Linked DNA regions of Oreochromis niloticus. The main gene of each other region encodes a partner of the protein of the gene in region 2 in a complex. Links are inferred from orthologs where the notes say so. Each region holds a gene or a part of one and is shown on either strand. Other genes may lie near its edges.

Region 1 (7,004 bases), about 47 Mb from region 2:
AAGTACAGTCTAATGAATTTGCATAAAGAAAATATGATACAAACTCAAAGTTAAAGAGAATAAACAGCACAATGTGAACTTGAAACCAATAAGATTTTCCATGAATGTCATTTTTCTTGACTGTCCACAAAAACAGAGCCTGTGGGTCACACAGCAAACCCAATTTTCCACTGGAATAATTAACTCGTTGGCTTTGTGTACTTATTTCTGTTATCTCTTGAATCTTTGTTCTGTTCAGCCTCCAGTTATAAATTTCAACATTTTCAGCCTTTAACTAACAAACTTCACACTTGCTCAGTTTTTATCAGGCTTATCTTGTCAGTGGGGACAAATGCAGACTTATTATCTACAGTTAATTACTTTCAGACCTTAGCCACAAAACAAATTTAATCCTCACTTCTAAATGCAGTTTCTCTGTGAGAAAGTGAAATATGCACACGCTTATTAAAAGACTAGGTACTAGTTTCTTACCATCTATCAATGGATTATTTCTTATTTCACTCCACAAAATACCTCTCAGTGCTCTCAGTAGTAAGCGAGTCTTCCTCTAGTGAACCAGTTCATTTAGGTTAAATAATACTGCATTAGCAGCTAGCTAGCAGCTAGTTTATGATACCTGTATGTCCGTGTCTTTGACCGGCTCCAGGGGCTCAAACGTGGTGGCAGCGCTGAGACTTTCTAGCCTCTGAGAAATGTGGAAGATGTCTAAACCTCTGGAACCAAGGAGGATGGACCTGAGGTGAAACAGAAAGGTGATGAAGGAGTGACTGATAAATAACTGTAGTTGCTCCACACGACCACTAGAGGACGCCGAACGCTTTACCACCGTTACAGAAACGATCTTTACACTGTACGCACTGATATGAACTATTACACAGCAGATCATGTATGTCATCACATACATCACAGAGAGAATTTCAATCTAATATCAATGCAGTTTTAAAATAAATAGACTAAATCCTTTAAATATCACTCAAGCTTATTGATTAAGGAATATATTCTTTAAATCTTTAAAACCAAACATGTAGTTTATAAATGAGTGCGTCTATCATAGAGGTTAATGGGAAACAAATGAAAAATGATTTTATACATTTTATTTACATGAGAATTTTGCAGTAAGATATACTACATCACACCTTTCAGATACACATGAGTCTGTTATTATGAATCCTATTATTATTATTAGGACTCTTACTACTATACATAAAAAGGAACTCTTCCCAGGCTCTTGGGGCTCTTTTTTCATGTTGATCTTTAAAAATGCCTTGTGTGACTGTTTACTATACAACTTTATACACATAGTTAACCATTCATTTGTTTTTTGCCCCCCAGTTGCTTGTGTATGCATTGGCACATGTATGTATATGTGGGAGTTTATATGGAATGGATGGAGATATAAACAAACAAACACGAGGATCGCTATTACAGTTATCGTAGATGACATTCTTATTATTATTTAATATTACTATTGCTATTTGCACTCCTCGTCCTTATATGACATGACCACGATCAGTATGTGGTTAATCACACTCCCAGTACCCTCACCCCCAATCTATACTTTTTATTTGAACTTGTCCTGTTTGTCTATGCTCTATGTTTCATGTCCTGTGACACTGGTAACTTATTATCTGTTATCAATTACCATTTTTGCCAGTAGCAGTAATATTATGATTAACAGTGGGACATTTTCTGCCTATCTGCACATGCTGAAGTTCTTATTTCATACTGTTCTTGGTTGTATCTTGTTATTTTATAGTTCAGCTTTATTTTGTTGTTTGCTGGTTTTACTCTGTGACTACTAAGTGTTTTTGTTTCCACTCTTACTGCACTGTGCAATAATAGAAACCACAAGAATTTCCCTCAGGAAAAATAATACAGTTCTCTTATATTTCTTACGCTTTTACGTCTGCAGCATCTTGGGAGGTGCGGGTCAGTGTGCGAGATCGAAGCCTCTCCCCCGCCTGCTGGATCTCCTGAAGGTTCCTTTCCACATGAGGAAGTTCAGACACTGCTTCGGTCTCAGCAGCCAGCTGCTCTGCCTGCTGCAAGAGCTCCCCAAATCCCTCTGTATCCATGCTGCTATAGAGAAACAAATGAAGATATTTACATGTAACATCATCAGAGGTGAGATGAATAGTGTACAGTGGTTTGGGGAGCTATAATTTTAGGGTGCTCACATCCTTTTTGGAAAAAAATGTATAATTGGCCTGGATAATTTTACATAAATATGCTGCTGTTATTTTAGATTCCTAATCAACATTGTACCTCACTGACTAAGGTTTTGTATGTATTTTTTGTTGTTCATTTTCAATTCTTAGAAGAAGGGACTGGGTTAAAATGTACTGCAATTCCTCAACTGCGTGGACGGAGATTTACACAAATTCAGAAGTAAACGTAAAGTGAGCACGTAAACGTCTAAGACGTAATATAGCTGAGAACTGCCACAACAACAACAACAACAACAACACGTTTAGGACTAGGGCTAGTCGATAACATACAAACTGTGAATAACATAAACACCCATGTACATAACGACATACAGCTGTGTGAGCTTTCGGAAAGTTGACAGCTGGAGCGCGCGCATGGAGCGCTGTGGTGTTAGCTTAGCTGCTATAAACTCGCTTTAGGAATAGCAACAAAAATGCAGTTTCAAATGAAATTTAATTCCGGCTGCTGTGAAGTGGCGTGATGTGAATCACGATAAAAACACGTTTGAATTCATTTTATTTTATTGCAGTGCTGCCCTTTTGGCTAAGCTTCGTTAGCATGCTAACATGTAGCTACAAGTCAGAATGAATTACACTGTGCAGCGTTAGCTAGCATGCTAAGCTGCTATTATTCTTACATATTCTTAGTGTTGCGTTAACTCAAAAAGTTCATTTTGCTAACGCGGCTGGAAGCAACCACACTTCATACCTGTTGTGTGAGGTGGGAGAAAATACGGTCCTGTTTATACTCCACGAGTGAATGTATTGACAGTTATTTTCTGTTACTCCGTTTCTTCAGCATGCAAGTACATTATTTGCCCCGACCGGCACTTCTGGAGTCGATCGTGATTGGACAGTCCTGCGTCCCTCCCGGAAGTTCTTCTTCTTCTCCAGTTTCAATAACGAACAAACTAATATTAACGAAGCATATCGTCACCTACTGTCATAATTGGGGTTTTTTAGGGCCCGAGCACTAAAGGTGCGAAGGCACTATTGTATCTGCTCTGTGTATTATCATTGTTATTATTATTAGGGCCCGAGCACTTCGAGTGCGAAGGCCCTATTGTATCTGCTCTGTTTCTTCTTCTTCTTCTTCTTCTTATTATTATTAGGGCCCGAGCACCGAGAGTGCGAAGGCCCTATTGTATCTGCTCCGTTTCTTATTATTATTATTATTATTATTATTATTCAGGCAAAACAAGGGCCTTTTTGAGGGCTTTAACATGCTCGAAAACTCTTGAAATTTTGCACACATGCCAGGTCTGGTGAAAAATTTTGTATTTTAATGGTTTTACATAGGAGCACTGGGAAATGGCTCTAGAGCGCCACCTATGCGCTGTTAAATGCAGCCTTACGACCACATCGTTTGGGCTACATCTATGAAATGTGGCACACATGTGTATCATGCCGAGACAAACAAAAAAGTCTGTGACTACATGTGACGCAAACCCAACAGGAAGTCCGCAATTTAGAAGTGAAGGTGACATTTTGGCTCTAATTTTGCCATTTCCATGCCTCGAACTTTTGCGAACTCCTCATTGGAATTTCATCGTACAAGCTTCATATTTGGTCAGTGTCAACTACACACCTGGGCCATGTTAAATTGCGGAGCTTTTGAGTTTTCGGGATACGGTGACGCCGTGGCGCCACGGCGAATTTCGATGACTCGCCATGAAAATCTTATTGCCTCTCGTTCTGTCATACATTGTCCGACCTTGACCAAAGTGGACACATATGATAAGGCTCCAACCCTGAACATATTTCAACTGCCATATTTGACATCAGGTACAGCGCCACCTAGTGGGAACAGGAAATGTCATGTTTTACACTTTGGGGTACAGTATTGTAATGGGTGACATCTGCAGCCTCAAATTTCTCCAGGAAAGCCTTAAGGAGTTGGTCTTGGGTTCCAGAGAAAACTGTGAGTTTTCGCTGAAGGGTGTGACCCCAGCAGCATGGCGAACATTGAGGTCTCGCCATGAAGAAACAAATTAGTGTAACTCAATGAAATCCAATCTGATCAGTACCAGATTTTACAGGGATGATGTCAGACCCGCCCTGAACAGATTGATATGCCCATTGTCAGGAATACGTAGAGCGCCACCTAGTGGCACCAGGAAATGTCATGTCTTTCATTTTGTTGTACTGATTTTCACAGGTTCATCGTGGCCACCTCAAAAGCGGTGAGTATCACCATCAGTCCTTCATGATGCTTCTGTGCGAAAATTGTGACTTTAAACTGAACGGCGCACCCTGGTGGCAACGCGGTTCACCATGAAAGACGAAGTGGCTTTTGAGGGGCTTGGAAATTTTAAAAAGTCTTGGAATTTGGCCCAAACCTCCAATGTGATGAGGGCTTTGTTGTTATGTGATCAGTTTCCTTGAATAATGCAAAATGGCTCCACAGCGCCCCCTACAAAATTTCAAAACATCAGCCCCTGCTCTGTGTTTTATTTATAAGTCTGAAACCTGGTAAGCTTATGGAGGATATCAAGATGTACAAACAAGTCTCTTGGAGCAATATCCCAAATCCAACAGGAAGTCAGCCATTTTAAAATTAAGGTGTAATTTTAGCCACTTTTTCGCCTCTTTTCAGGCCTCATACTTTGACGAACTCCTCCAAGGGATTTCATCAGATTAACCCGATCTCCTGTGTGTGGAATCTAAAGACCTTTGTGATGTTAAATTGCGAAGGTTTTTACGTTCAGGGAAACGGGGTGGCCATGGCGGCACTTGGAGTTTCAATCCCTTGCCAAAAAGCAGTAATCTGCTGTCACTCAAAAACACAATGTCCAATCTCTCCCAAAGTTCGCAGGCGTGATGAGACTCAAGGTCGGAAATGTTTGTTATCCCATTTGTCAGTAATGGTTAGAGCGCCACCTAGTGGGACGACTATAATAATGATTGAATGAGATGAATCGTTAGCTGGTGGTTCTAGGCATGAATTCCATCAATGTGACATCAGATCGGACGTGCTGGTTGTAGGTGTTGGGCGTGGCCCGACGTGCCGGGGTGCGAGGGCCCTCATAACGCTGCTTGCAGCTTTAATTATTATTATTTCGGCAAATGAATCGGCCTTTTGAGGGCCTAAACATGCTCAAAAACTCATGAAATTTTGCACACTCGTCAGGTCTGGTGAAAATTTACGTATTTTAATGTCTGTAGACATGTCCAGGGAAAATTGGCTCAGTAGCGCCACCTAGAAAAATGAGAAACGCGAGCCCCCGAGATGGGTATGACCTACATGTATAAAACTCGGAACACATATCTAACGTTCGGAGACGCACAAAAAAGTCTATTATGGCCATGTCCTAAACCCAACAGGAAGTCCGCCATTTGGAAGTGAAGGTGACATTTTGGCTCTAATTTTGCCATTTCCATGCCTCGAACTTTTGCGAACTCCTCATTGGAATTTCATCATACAAGCTTCATATTTGGTCAGTGTCAACTACACACCTGGGCCATGTTAAATTGCGGAGCTTTTGAGTTTTCGGGTTACTGTGAGGCCGTGGCGCCACGGCGAATTTCGATGACTCGCCATGAAAATCTTATTGCCTCTCGTTCTGTCATACATTGTCCGACCTTGACCAAAGTGGACACATATGATAAGGCTCCACCCCTGAACATATTTCAACTGCCATATTTGACATCAGGGACAGCGCCACCTAGTGGGAACAGGAAATGTCATGTTTTACACTTTGGGGTACAGTATTGTAATGGGTGACATCTGCAGCCTCAAATTTCTCCAGGAAAGCCTTAAGGAGTTGGTCTTGGGTTACAGAGAAAACTGTGAGTTTTCGCTGAAGGGTGTGACCCCAGCAGCATGGCGAACATTGAGGTCTCGCCATGAAGAAACAAATTAGTGTAACTCAATGAAATCCAATCTGATCAGTACCAGATTTTACAGGGATGATGTCAGACCCGCCCTGAACAGATTGATATGCCCATTGTCAGGAATACGTAGAGCGCCACCTAGTGGCACCAGGAAATGTCATGTCTTTCATTTTGTTGTACTGGTTTTCACAGGTTCATCGTGGCCACCTCAAAAGCGGTGAATATCACCATCAGTCCCTCTTATGCTTCAGTGAGAAAATTGTGACTATAAACTGAACGGCGCACCCTGGTGGCAATGCAGTTCACCATGAAAGATGAAGTGGCTTTTGAGGGGCTTGAAAAGTTTAAAAAGTCTTGAAATTTGGCGCACACCTCTAATGTGATGAGGGATTTCTTTTATATGTTCATTTCCTTGAACAGCGCAAAATGGCTCCACAGCGCCCCTACAAAATTTCAAAACAACAGCCCCTGCTCTGTGTTTTATGTATGAGTTTGAAACCTGGCAAGCTTATTGGAGATATCAAGATGTACAAAAAAGTCTCTTGGAGCAATATCCCAAATCCAACAGGAAGTCAGCCATTTTAAATTAATGTGTAAATTTGGCGACATTTTCCCCTCTTTTCAGGCCTCATACTTTGACGAACTCCTCCAAGGGATTTCATTAGATTACGCGATCTCCTGTGTGTGGAATCTAAAGACCTTTGTGATGTTAAATTGCGAAGCTTTTTACGTTCAGGGAAACGGGGTGGTCATGGCGGCACGTGGAGTTTCAATCCTCGCCAAAAAGCAGTAACCTGCTGTCGCTCAAAAACACAATGTCCAATCTCTCCAAAGGTCGCAGGCGTGATGAGACTCGAGCTCGGAAATGTTTGTTATGCCATTTGTCAGTAATGGTTAGAGCGCCACCTAGTGGGACGACTATAATAATGGTTGAATGAGATGAAATTTAGCTGGTGGTTAAAT
Region 2 (7,631 bases):
CCGCAAACCGAAGCCTTGCTCTTTGAACATCTTGGTGAAGTTCAGAAGGTCAGATGGGTTCATCTCAAAGTAAGCATAATACAGAAAGATGATCTCGAGCAGCAAAGACTGTTCTCTCAGACACTGCAGGAACCATCTTGACACCTGCCTCTCCGTCTGAAAAAAATAATATTTACATTATTTTGCATCCTTAACAAGAAAATATCTCCCACAGCTACCTCACAATAGAAAGAATAATAAGCCAACGCAAACCAAATTTGTGTCATCACCATGAGGTTTCCGTGAGTTTCCCATGTTGGTGCCTCTGCCTTGAAGAGACTCTCAAACTGCAACTGGTATTTGCTCACCAGGTCCTTCTCCAGCTTATTTACACAGTTACTGTACTCAGCCTAAACAACATAACATAACTAAGGTTACATTGCTAAAGCAACAACAATCCCAAGCACAATTAGTTTTTTAAAAGCTGTGTTCCACAATTTAGTGAGTAATGCTAAGACTGGAGCTTCTCACCCTGTAGGGATGTCGCTCATCCTGAAAGTATGTGAGTAGGAGAAGGACACATCTGAGCAAACACATGCGTTCCTCATAGTAATAGTCTGCTATCTGCAAAAACAAACACAGAGGCTGTAATACTTACTGAACTCAACATGTGCTGAGTCAAGAAAAGCAGAAGATCCATGTACTGACCTTAAGCAGTAGTGCCTGGCTTTGCCGCTCATCCTTGAGTACAACCTACAACAAAAGATTAATTTAACATCTAAACATCTTTCACAACATCTTTTTACGGTCTTACAATTTTTGTTCCTGTAATGCAACGGCAAATCTCAGTTTCACTGAAAACTACAAGTTCAGACAGATTCCACAATGAAAATATCTGTCAGGACAGATACCTTTAATGAGTCACGGGTTCCTCTGTAGTCCTCCTGTAGGTAGCATTGCAAAAGCTGAACACTCTGCTGTTCATCAAGACTCTGTAACATGAAATCATCATTAAATACACACTACAAAATAAAGACTGGAAATCATTCTTGACTGATATTTTGAAGTCTCACCAATAATTTACTGATCCTTAGACCAAAGTCCTTCAGGGGCTGTGCAACATTTTTGTTCTCTTTTACTTTCTCAGCAGAGGATGAGCTGTAACAGGTGATGCTTGCAGTTACCTTTTTGGTTATTAACAGTACATTTGATGTGAAAATAACTGTAACTATACCTGGGCGGCTTGTAGTAACTAAGTCCTTGATGGAGTCTATCCCAGTGTCTGTCGAGCTCTGCCTCTATCTGAGCCTGTGACCAATAATAACAGACAGAAAAATCACTGTGATTGTTTTATTACCTTTAAAAATGAAAAAATTACAACTAGCTATTTTTTGGAGCAGTAAAGTGTCCAGCACACTTGTTATGCGCTGGACACTTTTCTGCAACAAGGACATACCGGCTCTCTCAACGCAGACCTCCCCAGCAATATGGTCCATAATTCCCTACAGCTCCTGGGAAACAAATTGGTTTATTTTAGAAAAGCAACGATTGGGATTAATGCATTAAAATTTTTTACAGTTTGCTACATTAGAACTGAGCCTATTAACTAAAGAGGGATGAAGGTGTGGGATTTAATAAGTGTGCACTTCTGTCCACCCTTTTTCAAATATGTAAACTAAATCAGCAAATGTGTAGCAATATTGTACCCTGTTTTATTTTATTTTCGTTCAATTTAAAAAAAATTACTTTGTATGAATTGGTTACATGTTTGAAAGAAACTGAACAAAGCAAAACAAACTTGCCCTGATGCCATCAAACAAAAGGACAGACCTACTTCCCAAAACTATAAACACTTCCCCCATTTTCATACATGACTCACTTTTTGTGGAAAGAAAAAAAAAAGGATAGGAAACTCAGTATGTCCATAGGGTCCAGAAAGATTTGCATAGAAGCATTAAAAATAACAATTATCTTTATATTTCCAATCATGTTAGTTTAGAGTGTGTGAAAATGGACAGACTAAAGCAATCTCTGTAATTCCTACACAGTTAATGCAACTTTTTTGGTAAACCTTATGCAAAATTAAAACTCAAAGTGTGCAGTTTGATGACATTTTAGTTATTTATTTTACATCTACTGTGGTTAGGTACAAAAAAACATAAAAATTCTGTCCATGTCAGCATACTTTTTGACCAGACTGGAGATGTTACCGGTACTTTAAAGCTCAATACATGTTTGCACACATAAAAATTTGTTGTGGTCCTCAATATGAGTCTGTTGTCTTGTTATTATGATATTCATGGATATGTTTTAAATACTCCTGTTCAATGATAGCCCTTCATCAGCGTTCCCTAAAACTAAATTAGTTTATTTGTACTTAAAGAGATGGATAGGCTTTTGCGATTTGTTGTCAAGTCAAACTCTGTTTAGTTTCTTTTGGAGGTCAAGTTTAAAGATTTTAAACCTAACTCAGCTGTTTTCCTGTCCGTATCAAAACAGCAGAGTTAGCTTCTCAATTAACACCAACTAAGCAAGCCCAGCGGTTACTGAATGTAACGGAGAGGCAATTTATCTCGCTGTAAGTACGGTGTCTGTAAATAAACCAGCGCCGTTAATACAATATCTAATGTAAACAGTTTGCAGTGGCGGTATGCTGTTGTTGACATGCGGCTGGCACACCGCGCTACTGAAAAGCCATTCAAATCTTTAGCGGCTAGTACTTGCTAAGCTAAGTGAGCGTGGTGCTAACTGCTCAAACGCAAAGAGTGAAATATACACATCACTGCTGGTCTGATTTAGTAAACAGAAACGCTGTGTAGAAACGATACCCACTGGTAAACGCTCCAAAAATAACTCAAACAACGCACACTTTAGCTAAAGTAAGTTGCTATGTGCCTACCTGACGCTCATCTCCGACTCCGCCATCTTCGCGTCTGCTCTGTGATTGGTTGTTGTGCTGGCTCGTCAGCGACGTCGAAAGCGCCTTCGTTACCGTCGGAGGCAACGGGTGGGAGCCTTGTTCTTCTTCGTGAAGCAGCGGGTGTCCTGAGTTCAACTTTAGCGCCATCCTCTGGAGTAAAATAAACACATCCCTATCGTCTCCATACCTTTTCGAAAATATTTATACCATATTTTGGCAAAACTTCTGTGTCTCCCCCTAACTTCATAATTCAGTATATCATGTATCAAAGACATCCTCTGGACTTACGGGTAATTATTATTATTAACAAATAATTATTCACGTATTACATGTATAAAGTAGCCTGAGAAGTCTGAATTTGAACAAAATAAATACATAAATATTTTTATGTATTTATTTAAAGTATGTGCTTTATGGTAATATAATTATTTCACAAATTTAAGGTTAAAAAGTAAATTTAAAACAACGCCTTTAAGAGATACTTTTTTTAGTGTACCACGTGACCCGGCTGTCAAAGATGGCCCCCTCCTACTGGGTGTGAGAGGACCGACAGCTGACAAAGGAAACAAATCTGTCCAGAAAGGACGGCAGCGATTCATAGCGATTCACTGCACACGTCCGCTCAAACAACGCTGCGCTTGTATGGTATGTACGCTTGTCTTTGTCAGCCTGTATTGTGCGTCAGTGCTGCCAGTAGTTACTGCTGTGTGGCGCTTTGCTAGCTCTGTACAGTGAGCTTGTTAGTCTGCCGTTAGCTTGATGCCGTCAGAGGTTAAAGCATCCTCGGCTGCCAGACAGACGCGTTCTTCGGTGTAGGGAGAATTATCTGGCCTCATTGGGCTGTATGAATGAATGAAATAAACTGGAGTTTTATTGTTTTGATTTTCTTTCCCTAATGTATCCTTCAGCTTTCATAACCATTTGTTAAGCATAGCCTCGCTGACCCAGAACTCACACTACACAGACAGCTCAAACTCCGACCCCCACAGGAACAAAAGGTTGCAGCTGATGTGGAAAGAACATGTGTTTCATGTGTGACCTTTTACTCGTGCTGTCTGAGCTGTGTGAATTTCTCACTGATGGGGTGAATGTTCAGTGTGGTCATAGTTCATGGCAGGAAGCAGATAAAGCATGACCAAGGTTCAGAGTTAGAATAAGCAAGAAAAGACTCAGAATTCAGTACAGTAGCATTTGAATCTGTAATTTGTACACATTATTATGTTTGTTGTGATCTGTATTTTTTTCTCTTAAATGCTAACTTTTTTCCCCTTTTTCTTCGGACATCCATAGCAAGGGAAAGTTACCTTCCAAATGATGAAGCCTGTAAGAGAGAGGAAGTGACAGAAGAAGGCCTTCATTGCTGCACACCATCTGTTCAGATCAACCCTCCTCCCTCTCTGTGAGCGCCCACCCTCCAGCCATGCAAATCAACCCGGTGCACGTGGAGTCCACTGTAGTTTTGGCAGTGGTACTATGTGTCCACATGGCGGTCTGGAACCAGCACTCCTGGTGCAGCATAGCCCTGGTGATCCAGGCTTTCTACGTGCAGCATAAATGGGACCGTCTGCTCAGGTCTGGGGGTGCTGTGTTCCAGTTTCGCCCCTCAGCGAACAGCGGCATTGTTCCGGCCTCTATGGTAATGCCTTTGTTGGGCCTGGCACTGAGAGAAAAGTGCTCTGCCTCAGGGAATGTCTACTTTGAGCGCTTCTCCATGGTGATCACCATCACAGGCATGATGCTAGCCCTTTTCCTCTCCCTGATTGCACTGGGCATCACAAGACCTGTTCCCACCAACACTTGTGTGATTGCAGGAATGGCCGGCAGCGCAATTCTCTACACCACAAAGCAGACCCTGACTGTGTCTGAGGTCATAGAGGTCTTGGAGGTGCTGCTGATCTTTGTCTATCTCAGCCTGATTGTGCTTTATCTGCTGCCGCGCTGCTTCACACCCGGAGAGGCACTCCTCATTGTCGGTGGGATCAGCTTCATCGTGAACCAACTCATCAAGCGCTCCCTGAACCTGGCGGAGGTCAAAGGTGACCCGGTGAACTATTTCCTCCCGGTGTTAGTGGTGGGCTCGTTGCTGCTGGGCGTTTTCTTCGCCCTGCTCTTTTGTTTCATGGAGTCTGAGAGCTGGGGGTCATCACTCTTCTTTCACATGATGACAGCCGTTCTGGGTCTGGGGATCTTGATGCCCTGGCTGTCCTTGTTCATCGGTCGCCACCCCCTCATGTGGTTGTTGGACTTCATCACGCTGAATGACAGGAGACTCTGCCTGCTGGCGTACTGGGTGTTTCTGTCTGTCGTGGCCAGTTGCGTTGTGGTACATCAGAACTATCAGCGCCAGTCGGGTTCCAAGAAGCACCAGGCGTCGACCATCGTCAGGAAGTATTTCCATCTGATTGTAGTGGCTACCTACATTCCAGGGTTGATCTACGACAGGCAGCTGCTCCACGTGGCATCTGTGGGTTGCCTGGCGGTTTTCTTGTTCTTGGAGTATGTGCGTTACTTTCGAATCAGGCCTGTCGGTCAGCTGCTCAGGCAGTTGCTCACTCTGTTCCTGGACGAGCGGGACTCTGGGCCTCTCATCCTCACCCACATTTACCTGCTGCTGGGGATGTCTTTGCCCATTTGGCTGTTTCCTGGACCCTGTGCCCCTAAGGGGATACTTCCAGGGGCGGGTGGCCTGGTGCCCTACGCAGGTGTGCTCGCGGTGGGAGTTGGAGACACTGTGGCCTCTGTGTTCGGCAGTACCATGGGGGAGATCCATTGGCCTGGCACCAAGAAAACCTTAGAGGGGACCGCGACATCTGTGTTCGCCCAGATCATCGCCGTGGCCATGTTTCTCATCTTTGACAGCAGCATCAATCTGAACACCACCTACTCATGGATTGTTGGCTCCATCACTCTGGTGGCCATGTTGGAAGCCTACACCTCCCAAATAGACAACCTGCTGCTCCCACTCTACCTCTTCATCCTCCTGTTACTTTGAATGGACCGATCATACAAACAAGCAGATCCACTGCCTGTTTCTCAGCCATTTCTGGTGGTGAACTTGGGACAAAAAAAGCTGTCTTTCGTAGTCTGTGGACATGATCACAAACTGTAGTTATTTTTGACTAGCACAAGGCGATCGAAAGCAGTCAAATTAACCGACCAGGGTATCGACAAACCTTTACATGCGACAGTGTTGGCATGACAGTCTGTTGTCTTTAGATCATTTTCAGTATCCTTTGCAATGACCAATGGAACATTTTAGATCAAGTCTGAACCTCGCGACAGAGGTGGCGTATGTTTTCTCTGCCACTGACACCAACAGCTCCTAAATTATGCAACAGGAGACTCAGTTTAGCAGAGTGTGGAGGAGAAAAAAAGTGTTTCTTAAATAGAAATCCTGGACACGTTTTTATAATCGGCAAGAAATACACAAATGTCCTGTCGTTTTTGTTTCATTAACAGATACATGCCTTGTATTGCCTTTCGAAGAACATAATTTAAAGTTATCTTATTGATATGTCTTTTAATCAACTTTCTCACGTCTAGGCTATTATTTTTGCCTCCCTGATGGCAATATGAAGAAGTTTCTTCTGAAAATACTTGCCTTAAGAAGTATATTTTCTATCACACACAACCTACCATAGTAGAAGCTGTACACGCTAGCATGGCAGCCCATTTCAACTCTTATTTAAAGGGCTGATTTATACTTATATATGGTAGAAACACACTATGCTCCTGCATGAGACTGATGTGATAATGCAGTACTGTAACGTGTATGCCGGTTATCCTACCGCATATATTTTTGTCAGATAAATCAACTTTGCTTAGCAGTTTGTGGTTTAATGGGACCCTGCACCCCTTCAATATCTACATTTCCTTGTAATACTGAGCCTTTAGTGTTTTGTTTTTTGGGGCTTTGTAGATATGCTTTTGGGCCACACCCATGCACACAGGCCTTTACGTTTTGGCAACTTTTACAGCAAGATTTACTTCTAAATTATTGTTTTATATGCTTTATAGCAATATACTCTAATTTTTATTGGGTTTGATCTCTTCATTTGTAGATAAGGAAATGGAGCTGGTTTCAGTTCATCTGTAAAAGTTCTGAAGTGTTTCTTTTTTGTTTGTTTGTTTGTTTTAATGTTGTGATAATGTTTATTAGCCTGATCCTGCTGGTGTGTTTCTTTTTCCAACATTCTTACATTTTGAAAGAAAAATTTAGTATTGCATGTTTCAGAACATCTGAGAACAAACAAAGCTTTTTTTGTTTTGGGGGGATTTTGGTTTGTTTGTTTGGTTTTTTGAGGATTGAGATGTAGGACCTTTGTGAGCGACTGTACTTTAACAACACAAAGATTATCCTTTTGCTTTTTCACTTTGATTTGTGACACTAACACAAGAAGTTTGAATGCTGCGCTTGATAATTACACGTACATAAAGCTTTGTCTTTTTCATTTTAAGTTAGGTCTTAAAATGAACATACTTGAAAGCAGAGATGCTCGCTGTTGTCTGTAAATGGAGGAATTCATTGTCTTATTTGGGCACAAATCATTTAAAAAGATCTTGCACAAGAATAAAGCTGTTGACAATGCTGATGAGGAAATGCTTAATAAAGGTGGGTGGAAATGTCAGTTGCACAGTGAAATCTCCATGGAGACTTGATCAAAAAAAATGTTTATTTAAATTTTTTTTTCAGCCACAATTTAAAACACTTTTCCAGCAAATTTATAATTAA
Region 3 (7,768 bases), about 46 Mb from region 2:
ACAAACGTGGGTATTGACAGCAATAGTCCGTCAGTCTTTTACAGCTGAGGGGTAAAAACTACATTTGAACACAAGTCTCATGTTTAAATTCCCACTTTTATAGCACTGAGAATAGTTTCATCATTAAATATCAAGGGTAACAAAATGTATATGTAAAGTACTTTTTTAAAAATTATGCATTCAGCTTTGTATTTACTTCCTCACTTAGCTAGTTGTCAATTTATTTATGTATTTACTGATTTTTATTGTATTTTGTTTGTTTTATATTATATGTATTTGTTACTTTATATTCTAAGAGTCAAACACTCTCAGTTTGACTGAGTCTAGAATCAGAGTACCGCACATCTCTACTTTTAATTACAGAAACAGTCACTAACTTGCCATTGCATACTTTATTTACTTTATTGGGGTGGCCACTATTGACCATTTGCAGGAAAAGAGATGGGTATATGATTCTCTGCATTAGGAGCTGCACAATGTTGTCACATAACAAAACTGAAACATATTTTCTACCTGGGATTTGGTGTCGTGGGTCGAGCTGCTTAAAGTCATGTTTTTCCACCATGTAACCACGCCAGTAATTTCCATCCACTGTTTGCTCTTCCTATCACATGGCAGCGGTATGCAGTTGCGTCATCTGTTTACTTTTGGGTAGCACATCACCAGCTGCTAGTCTCTCCTCCTTCTTGACCTGGTTATACTCCACAGAGTTTCTTTGTTTGTTTTGATCTGTGCTTTTTTGGAGGTTGTTGAAGTATCTCCCTATTTACTGAACCCTACAGGGAGTGCAGAATTATTAGGCAAGTTGTATTTTTGAGGAATAATTTTATTATTGAACAACAACCATGTTCTCAATGAACCCAAAAAACTCATTAATATCAAAGCTGAATGTTTTTGGAAGTAGTTTTTAGTTTTAGCTATTTTAGGGGGATATCTGTGTGTGCAGGTGACTATTACTGTGCATAATTATTAGGCAACTTAACAAAAAACAAATATATACCCATTTCAATTTACCAGTGAAACCAATATAACATCTCCACATTCACAAATATACATTTCTGACATTCAAAAACAAAACAAAAACAAATCAGCGACCAATATAGCCACCTTTCTTTGCAAGGACACTCAAAAGCCTGCCATCCATGGATTCTGTCAGTGTTTTGATCTGTTCACCATCAACATTGCGTGCAGCAGCAACCACAGCCACCCAGACACTGTTCAGAGAGGTGTACTGTTTTCCCTCCTTGTAAATCTCACATTTGATGATGGACCACAGGTTCTCAATGGGGTTCAGATCAGGTGAACAAGGAGGCCATGTCATTAGTTTTTCTTCTTTTATACCCTTTCTTGCCAGCCACGCTGTGGAGTACTTGGACGCGTGTGATGGAGCATTGTCCTGCATGAAAATCATGTTTTTCTTGAAGGATGCAGACTTCTTCCTGTACCACTGCTTGAAGAAGGTGTCTTCCAGAAACTGGCAGTAGGACTGGGAGTTGAGCTTGACTCCATCCTCAACCCGAAAAGGCCCCACAAGCTCATCTTTGATGATACCAGCCCAAACCAGTACTCCACCTCCACCTTGCTGGCGTCTGAGTCGGACTGGAGCTCTCTGCCCTTTACCAATCCAGCCACGGGCCCATCCATCTGGCCCATCAAGACTCACTCTCATTTCATCAGTCCATAAAACCTTAGAAAAATCAGTCTTGAGATATTTCTTGGCCCAGTCTTGACGTTTCAGCTTGTGTGTCTTGTTCAGTGGTGGTCATCTTTCAGCCTTTCTTACCTTGGCCATGTCTCTGAGTATTGCACACCTTGTGCTTTTGGGCACTCCAGTGATGTTGCAGCTCTGAAATATGGCCAAACTGGTGGCAAGTGGCATCTTGGCAGCTGCACGCTTGACTTTTCTCAGTTCATGGGCAGTTATTTTGCGCCTTGGTTTTTCCACACGCTTCTTGCGACCCTGTTGACTATTTTGAATGAAACTCTTGATTGTTCGATGATCACGCTTCAGAAGCTTTGCAATTTAAGACTGCTGCATCCCTCTGCAAGATATCTCACTATTTTTGACTTTTCTGAGCCTGTCAAGTCCTTCGTTTGACCCATTTTGCCAAAGGAAAGGAAGTTGCCTAATAATTATGCACACCTGATATAGGGTGTTGATGTCATTAGACCACACCCCTTCTCATTACAGAGATGCACATCACCTAATATGCTTAATTGGTAGTAGGCTTTTGAGCCTATACAGCTTGGAGTAAGACAACATGCATGAAGAGGATGATGTGGACAAAATACTCATTTGCCTAATAATTCTGCACTCCCTGTAATTGAAAACTGAAATTCAGCGCTTGCTGTCAGATATGTCTTGCTTGTCTTTCAGTTGTGTGTGCTAGGAAACATAAACAGGTGTCACTGAGATGGGAAAGATACTGCAATATGACACTTTTATATCATGGAAAATGTATATTATCGCAGATGATATGATATGGCACAGCCCAAGTGCCAAGGATCCTGAAGCCTCTGGGAAGAACTTTTTTTTTTAATTACTACACACCTTGGACATGAAATAATTTGCATGGAGACCTGAATTTAAATTTGCTTATTTCTTCTGCTGAATTTAAAGTCATCAACATGGCAAAAGAGAATATTAAATATTAAGAAGAAAATTAAAAATAGTAGTTTATGTTTACGTTTAGCCCAACATGTATTCAAAATATGAAAAGAAAGTCAATGAATAAATAAGTTTGGGTGGTACAAAAGGAGAATAAATGAAAATCATCAAAATAAATGAATGTATATATTTTTAAACTGGAAAAATAATGTCACATTGGAAAATTAAAAAAAAAAAAAAATACTCACAAAAACCGATAAAACTCATTTTTTTTCTTGTAATTTTCTTTCATTATAATAAATATTCATATATGTTTTTAAAAATATCTATATTTTTTACCTAATGGCTTTTAAAATAAATATTAAATAACTTTGTAATTTTTAAAATGTGCTTTATGAATCCAGTTTACCGGCTTACTCACTTGTTTTAATATTGGCTGTTAAAAACAGCAAGATTTTTTAAAATAAGTACAGATTTAGTTTGTAACTTTAAGGCTGTGTAGAGCAATATATAAGCAGTTTCTCACTTTGATTTGGAGCACATCCAGCGGTACAGTTTCTCCCTTCAGTATTGACAGTGTTGCTGATGTGATGTCCCTGGAAAATGAATGACATTAAAAACATTCTAGTTAATGGAAGAAATCAGGAATTCTGTACTATATATTTGCTGAGTGACATGATAACAACCCAGTGAAGTTTGTCGTGGGAATATGTAATGATCTTTTTGTGTGTGATGCTGAAACATTACTTACTTGACCTTGTTGTCACTGAGGAGATGAAGACTTGGACTGAGGGAATTATGGGAGCCTAGTGGAATGAATCCAATTGGTGTCTTACTGAAGACGTCCTGTGGTCAGAAAACATCCACCAAAAGAAAGATTTAATTACTTAAAGTATCAGACCGAATACAGTTATTACAGACAGATGATGTCAGATTAACACAGCTACTATATTACATTACACCTACTTGGTCTGGCCTTCTCAGTAAACCTGTGATCACTTCCTGCAACGTGCCATCTCCTCCAGCCACGATCAGCATGTCTGTTTCTTCCATTAACTCGATCAGTTTTTTTGCCTGGCCTTCATAGTCTGTCTGTAGAGGGATATGTAATATCTAGATGTGATGTCATGCTCTGTGACACTCTCAGAGACACTATTACCTGATAAATATCCAATTGAAATAGAAAACATTACCTTGACTACTGTAATCTGCACACCAGCCAGGTGTAAAATAGGAGCAGCATTCTTTTCAAATAGGTTGTTGGCTTTCCTGGAGAAAATTAACACAGGAAGCTGTAAATATTCTGAGAAGAATTAAACAAGACTCTCAGAGAGATGTCTGGAGATTATGCGTCTTACCCGTTGCAAGCTGCAGGGTTCAAAATCACAGTTGCTTTCCTGATTCGCTCCTGTGGTGCTATCTGCTGCTGTCCATATTCCTAACACAAATGATGATGTTAAGGATAACTGTCACAAAGAGGAAACTTGTGTTTTGGGGTAATAATTTTGTGACACCTTACCCTGGCTAGTAGACACGCCTCTCTGCGCAGGACGCTGTCACTGATGAAATATTATACATAACATTTAGGACACGAAAACGGGAATTTGTGCACTCTGTCTCATTCATAGCATGAAATACCCACCAGTGTTTTCCATACAGCCAGTATCCACCGTAGGACAAGACACACACAGCAAATGTGCTTTTCTTCCAATGATTTCGCAAAGTCCGAAACACTTTCACGACTCGAGCCATGACTGTGATTAAACTGTTTTCAAAACCTCAATTTTAGCGCAGTGGTACAGATCATTAAACGTCATAAACGACACATTTTCATCACAGCGGTCACAGACTCACAGATATAAGACTAGCATGGACATTTTGGTGTACCGTCAAAACAGTTGGAAGCAAAACAGGAGCCTCAAACTCATGGTTCCGCTTGTGTTTTGTTTTTTTTCGGAACTATTTCTAGTTGCATATTTTTTTCAAGTATTGCTTTATATAAGTCTCCTAAAAATATTTTATTTTTTAATTATTTTTTTTTAAGTTTACAGATTGTAGATTTAATTAAATGCCTTAAACGCTTTAGCTTACAAGAACTACAATTCCCATAGTTGCTAATGGGGACGGGGCCATCATTCGGAGGACCCCGCCTGAAAAGAGCCCACATAACCATGAAATCTTCTAAGATATTTAATCTACTCAACTAACCAGCGAGGACATTAAATTAGGACTGATAGATTCGTTGTTCACTAAAAGTGACCAAAGCGTTACAGAATTGATTGTTTTAAATTTCACACCGGCACAAACCCAGAAGCTTCTGTCCAACTTAGTGAGCGTATCATGGCGGCGCAGATGGCGGTAAATTCGGGTAAGGGTGTATATTTTATTAAATAATTGGATTTTGTTTAGTTATTGCATCAAATCTCAACCTCTGTTATGCATAGAAGCGCAGATATATGCGCTTCTTGGCCGCAGATTTGTCGATTATGATATGTTTTGACCACATGTTGTTGGGTCTGTCAGGCTAACATAGCTTAGCCTTACCCATAGCAAATAGACGTTAAGTTAGTTGAGGTTAAATAACAAATTAGTTTTACTCATTTACACCGAACTAATTCCCACATTAAACCTGAAATAACAGGGAGGGATGACAAGACTTGTCTGATAGATCAGCCGACCGGCTTGAAATAAAATTGAAACTAACAACTCGGGGGAGGCAAAGAAGTGTCTGTACTATACTTCTGGAATCTTTTATAGTGCTGTGCAAAATGCCGCAGTGGTGTTAACAAGCATGGTTATAACAAATTAACTCGAAATGACTAGAAATTAGTTGTTTGCATACTTGTGTGACGGCCCAAGACATCTGAAAGCTTATTTACAACCTCAGGAGCCAGTCTGTGGGGGCCGCTGAAAGAGCTCTGGGAGACAGTGGACGGAGCTGTGTTAAGGAGACAGCCCGAGAGTGTTCACCTCCTAGACCTACAGCTGAAGAAACACAAACCTCACTTTCTGTCACTTTTTAAGAACCCGGTAAGATGGCATGAATGGGTAATTTAAAACACTGTCATTTCTCACACATGCAGGTCACGGGTGGTTTTTTGTTTTGTTTTTTTTCCCCAATGTGTAGCTTGTAGTTACAGTCTGTCCTCCGAGACTCTGATATTAACAGCGTCTTGTCTTCTCTTCATTTTTAGCCAAAAAGTGCAGAGCAAAGAGAGAAAGTGCGTAAAGCCAGCACAGAAGGCATCGCCATCCAAGGTCAGCAGGGGTCACGGCTCCTTCCAGAACAGCTTCTGACAGAGGCTTTCATCCTCAGTGATCTCTTTGACATTGGAGAGTTGGCAGCTTTGGAGCTTCTCTTGGCAGGTAACATGAAGGAAAAAAATCCCCAACTTTATCCAGCATAATTATTTCCATTTCATCTTATAGGTAAAGTGTCACTGTAGTTAATTGTGTAGCAGGTTGTAGTGTATGGACTGTCCTGATCAAACACTGAGATTGAGCTCTGTTTCTTTTATGTAATCATCTCTCTCCAGGTGAACAGCAGCAGCCCTATTTTCCAGGACTGACACGAGGCCTAGTGGCCGTGTTACTTTACTGGGATGGAAAACTTTGTATGGCCAACTCTCTGCGCACGCTCATTCAGTCACGACAGGGAAAGACCTTCACCCTGGATCTTAGGTAATAACGGTGTCTAAAAGTAGTACAATGAAACATTGATAAATGCTGTTAAAGTCCCGTATGAGGAAGGTGTTTTTGTCCTGCTTGTATTTTTTTGGTAACCATTGCCCTTGATGTGAATGTGTAAAAATTGTGTATGTTTCTGTTCTGTGTCCTGTGTACTTTTTGTTTGTATATGTGTCTTTCTTGCTGCTGTTACATCCAAATTTCCCCTTGTGGGACAATTAAAGGATTATTCTATTCTGTTCTATTCTATTTGAATCTTATGTTTGACAATGTTATTTGTTTTCTCCTTCAGTGGAGAGCTGGTGGCTCTGACAACACGATTTACAGATGAGCTCATGAGCCAAGGTCTGACCAAACGCATCCTAACTTTGGTGTCAGAGATAAGCGTGACGCGTGAGTTTGAACGACTGCAGAAAGAACGCGGATTGGGCAACGAAAAGCACAGGAAGGAGGTGTGAAGTAATCTTTTGTATAAATTTTAACCAAAGATATAAATCTTCAAATTGCTTTGTTTTGTTTTTCCAGTGTTAAAGGAACAATGCAATGCCACTAATTTTCTCAACACAGCTCAAATAGAAACACAGAGTGTAGGAATGCAGAGTGGATTATGGAAAATGGGGATTACATGCAGTTTCTGCATCTGTCACCAGGTTGCAGACCTCATCAAGGAATGCCGACAGGCGCTTGCAGACAGCCTGTTTTCATGGACCTGCCAATCACCCCTGTCAAAAGATGACACTCTGGCACTCATTGGCCACCTGGAGACAGTTACAGCTCAGGCTGATGGCTCACTGGACAGTGTTAGCCTGGCTCTGGTTATGGCACTGCTCTACTGCTTGGATGTCAGTTTTATAGAGCAGGGGACTGAAGATAGAGATGGTAAGTTCGTGTTGATGGTTTTGGTTTTCTTTCTTTTTTTCCTGTTGAAATCACTGATTCCAAAAATCAACTGCCTGCATGTGTTTTCCTCCAGATTTGCTCCAGGCACTTCCATTGCTGACAGAAAGGCAGTATGTGTCTGCAGTGCACAGTCGCCTGATGGACAGCCAACCATGGAAGCTTCCGGGGCTGCAGGCCGTGTGTCGACTGGCGTGGGCTCTGTCGCTGAGAGTCCTTTCCCAGCTGCCACAGGGCTCTGGTAAGTACTGCATTCCTTGAGTCTCCATTAAAAATCACCTTCTGATTCTTACGTTTTCTGAGATAACAGCCATTTCATGTTATTGTATGTGCATTTTTGTGCAGCACTGGTTGAGTTCACTGAGGCAGATGAGGCTCTGGCTGATCAGGCTCTCCTGGGCGATGTCTTCTTGTTTATGAAAGAGGGCATGCTGGGATGTGAGAGTTTTTCCCAGGAAGAGTTTTACATCCGCCGCGTCCATTCACTCATCACAGACTTTCTGGCTCTTATGCCAATGAAGGTAAGAGATGCTGCAGGTGCGTGCTTTTAACTTAAGACTGACATGTAAAACTATA

The links.
Region 1: nup188 (region 2) and nup93 share a complex: the UniProt entries of both Homo sapiens proteins name them as parts of the nuclear pore complex. The link is inferred for Oreochromis niloticus from reciprocal best matches to the Homo sapiens genes NUP188 and NUP93.
Region 3: nup188 (region 2) and nup205 share a complex: the UniProt entries of both Homo sapiens proteins name them as parts of the nuclear pore complex. The link is inferred for Oreochromis niloticus from reciprocal best matches to the Homo sapiens genes NUP188 and NUP205.

The regions. Positions count from the first base shown.
Region 1 is NC_031972.2:63,343,136-63,350,139, forward strand, and holds the start of nup93 (nuclear pore complex protein Nup93), read right to left. Parts: upstream 3,085-7,004; 5' UTR 2,917-3,084; intron 2,080-2,916; 5' UTR 2,076-2,079; coding exon 1,897-2,075; intron 735-1,896; coding exon 617-734; intron 1-616. UniProt on the Homo sapiens protein: Plays a role in the nuclear pore complex (NPC) assembly and/or maintenance. May anchor nucleoporins, but not NUP153 and TPR, to the NPC. During renal development, regulates podocyte migration and proliferation through SMAD4 signaling.
Region 2 is NC_031972.2:16,372,779-16,380,409, reverse strand, and holds the start of nup188 (nucleoporin NUP188 homolog), read right to left. Parts: upstream 3,033-7,631; 5' UTR 2,905-3,032; coding exon 2,879-2,904; intron 1,491-2,878; coding exon 1,436-1,490; intron 1,288-1,435; coding exon 1,214-1,287; intron 1,138-1,213; coding exon 1,053-1,137; intron 972-1,052; coding exon 891-971; intron 733-890; coding exon 688-732; intron 604-687; coding exon 511-603; intron 390-510; coding exon 270-389; intron 157-269; coding exon 1-156. Other genes in the region: dolk (dolichol kinase), read left to right, coding at 4,320-5,891. UniProt on the Homo sapiens protein: Component of the nuclear pore complex (NPC), a complex required for the trafficking across the nuclear envelope. Required for proper protein transport into the nucleus.
Region 3 is NC_031972.2:61,902,155-61,909,922, reverse strand, and holds the start of nup205 (nuclear pore complex protein Nup205), read left to right. Parts: upstream 1-4,752; 5' UTR 4,753-4,948; coding exon 4,949-4,976; intron 4,977-5,495; coding exon 5,496-5,638; intron 5,639-5,802; coding exon 5,803-5,974; intron 5,975-6,144; coding exon 6,145-6,289; intron 6,290-6,587; coding exon 6,588-6,747; intron 6,748-6,945; coding exon 6,946-7,174; intron 7,175-7,268; coding exon 7,269-7,433; intron 7,434-7,537; coding exon 7,538-7,713; intron 7,714-7,768. Other genes in the region: agk (acylglycerol kinase, mitochondrial), read right to left, coding at 3,135-3,204, 3,360-3,454, 3,575-3,700, 3,802-3,877, 3,967-4,046, 4,128-4,167, 4,251-4,360. UniProt on the Homo sapiens protein: Plays a role in the nuclear pore complex (NPC) assembly and/or maintenance. May anchor NUP62 and other nucleoporins, but not NUP153 and TPR, to the NPC.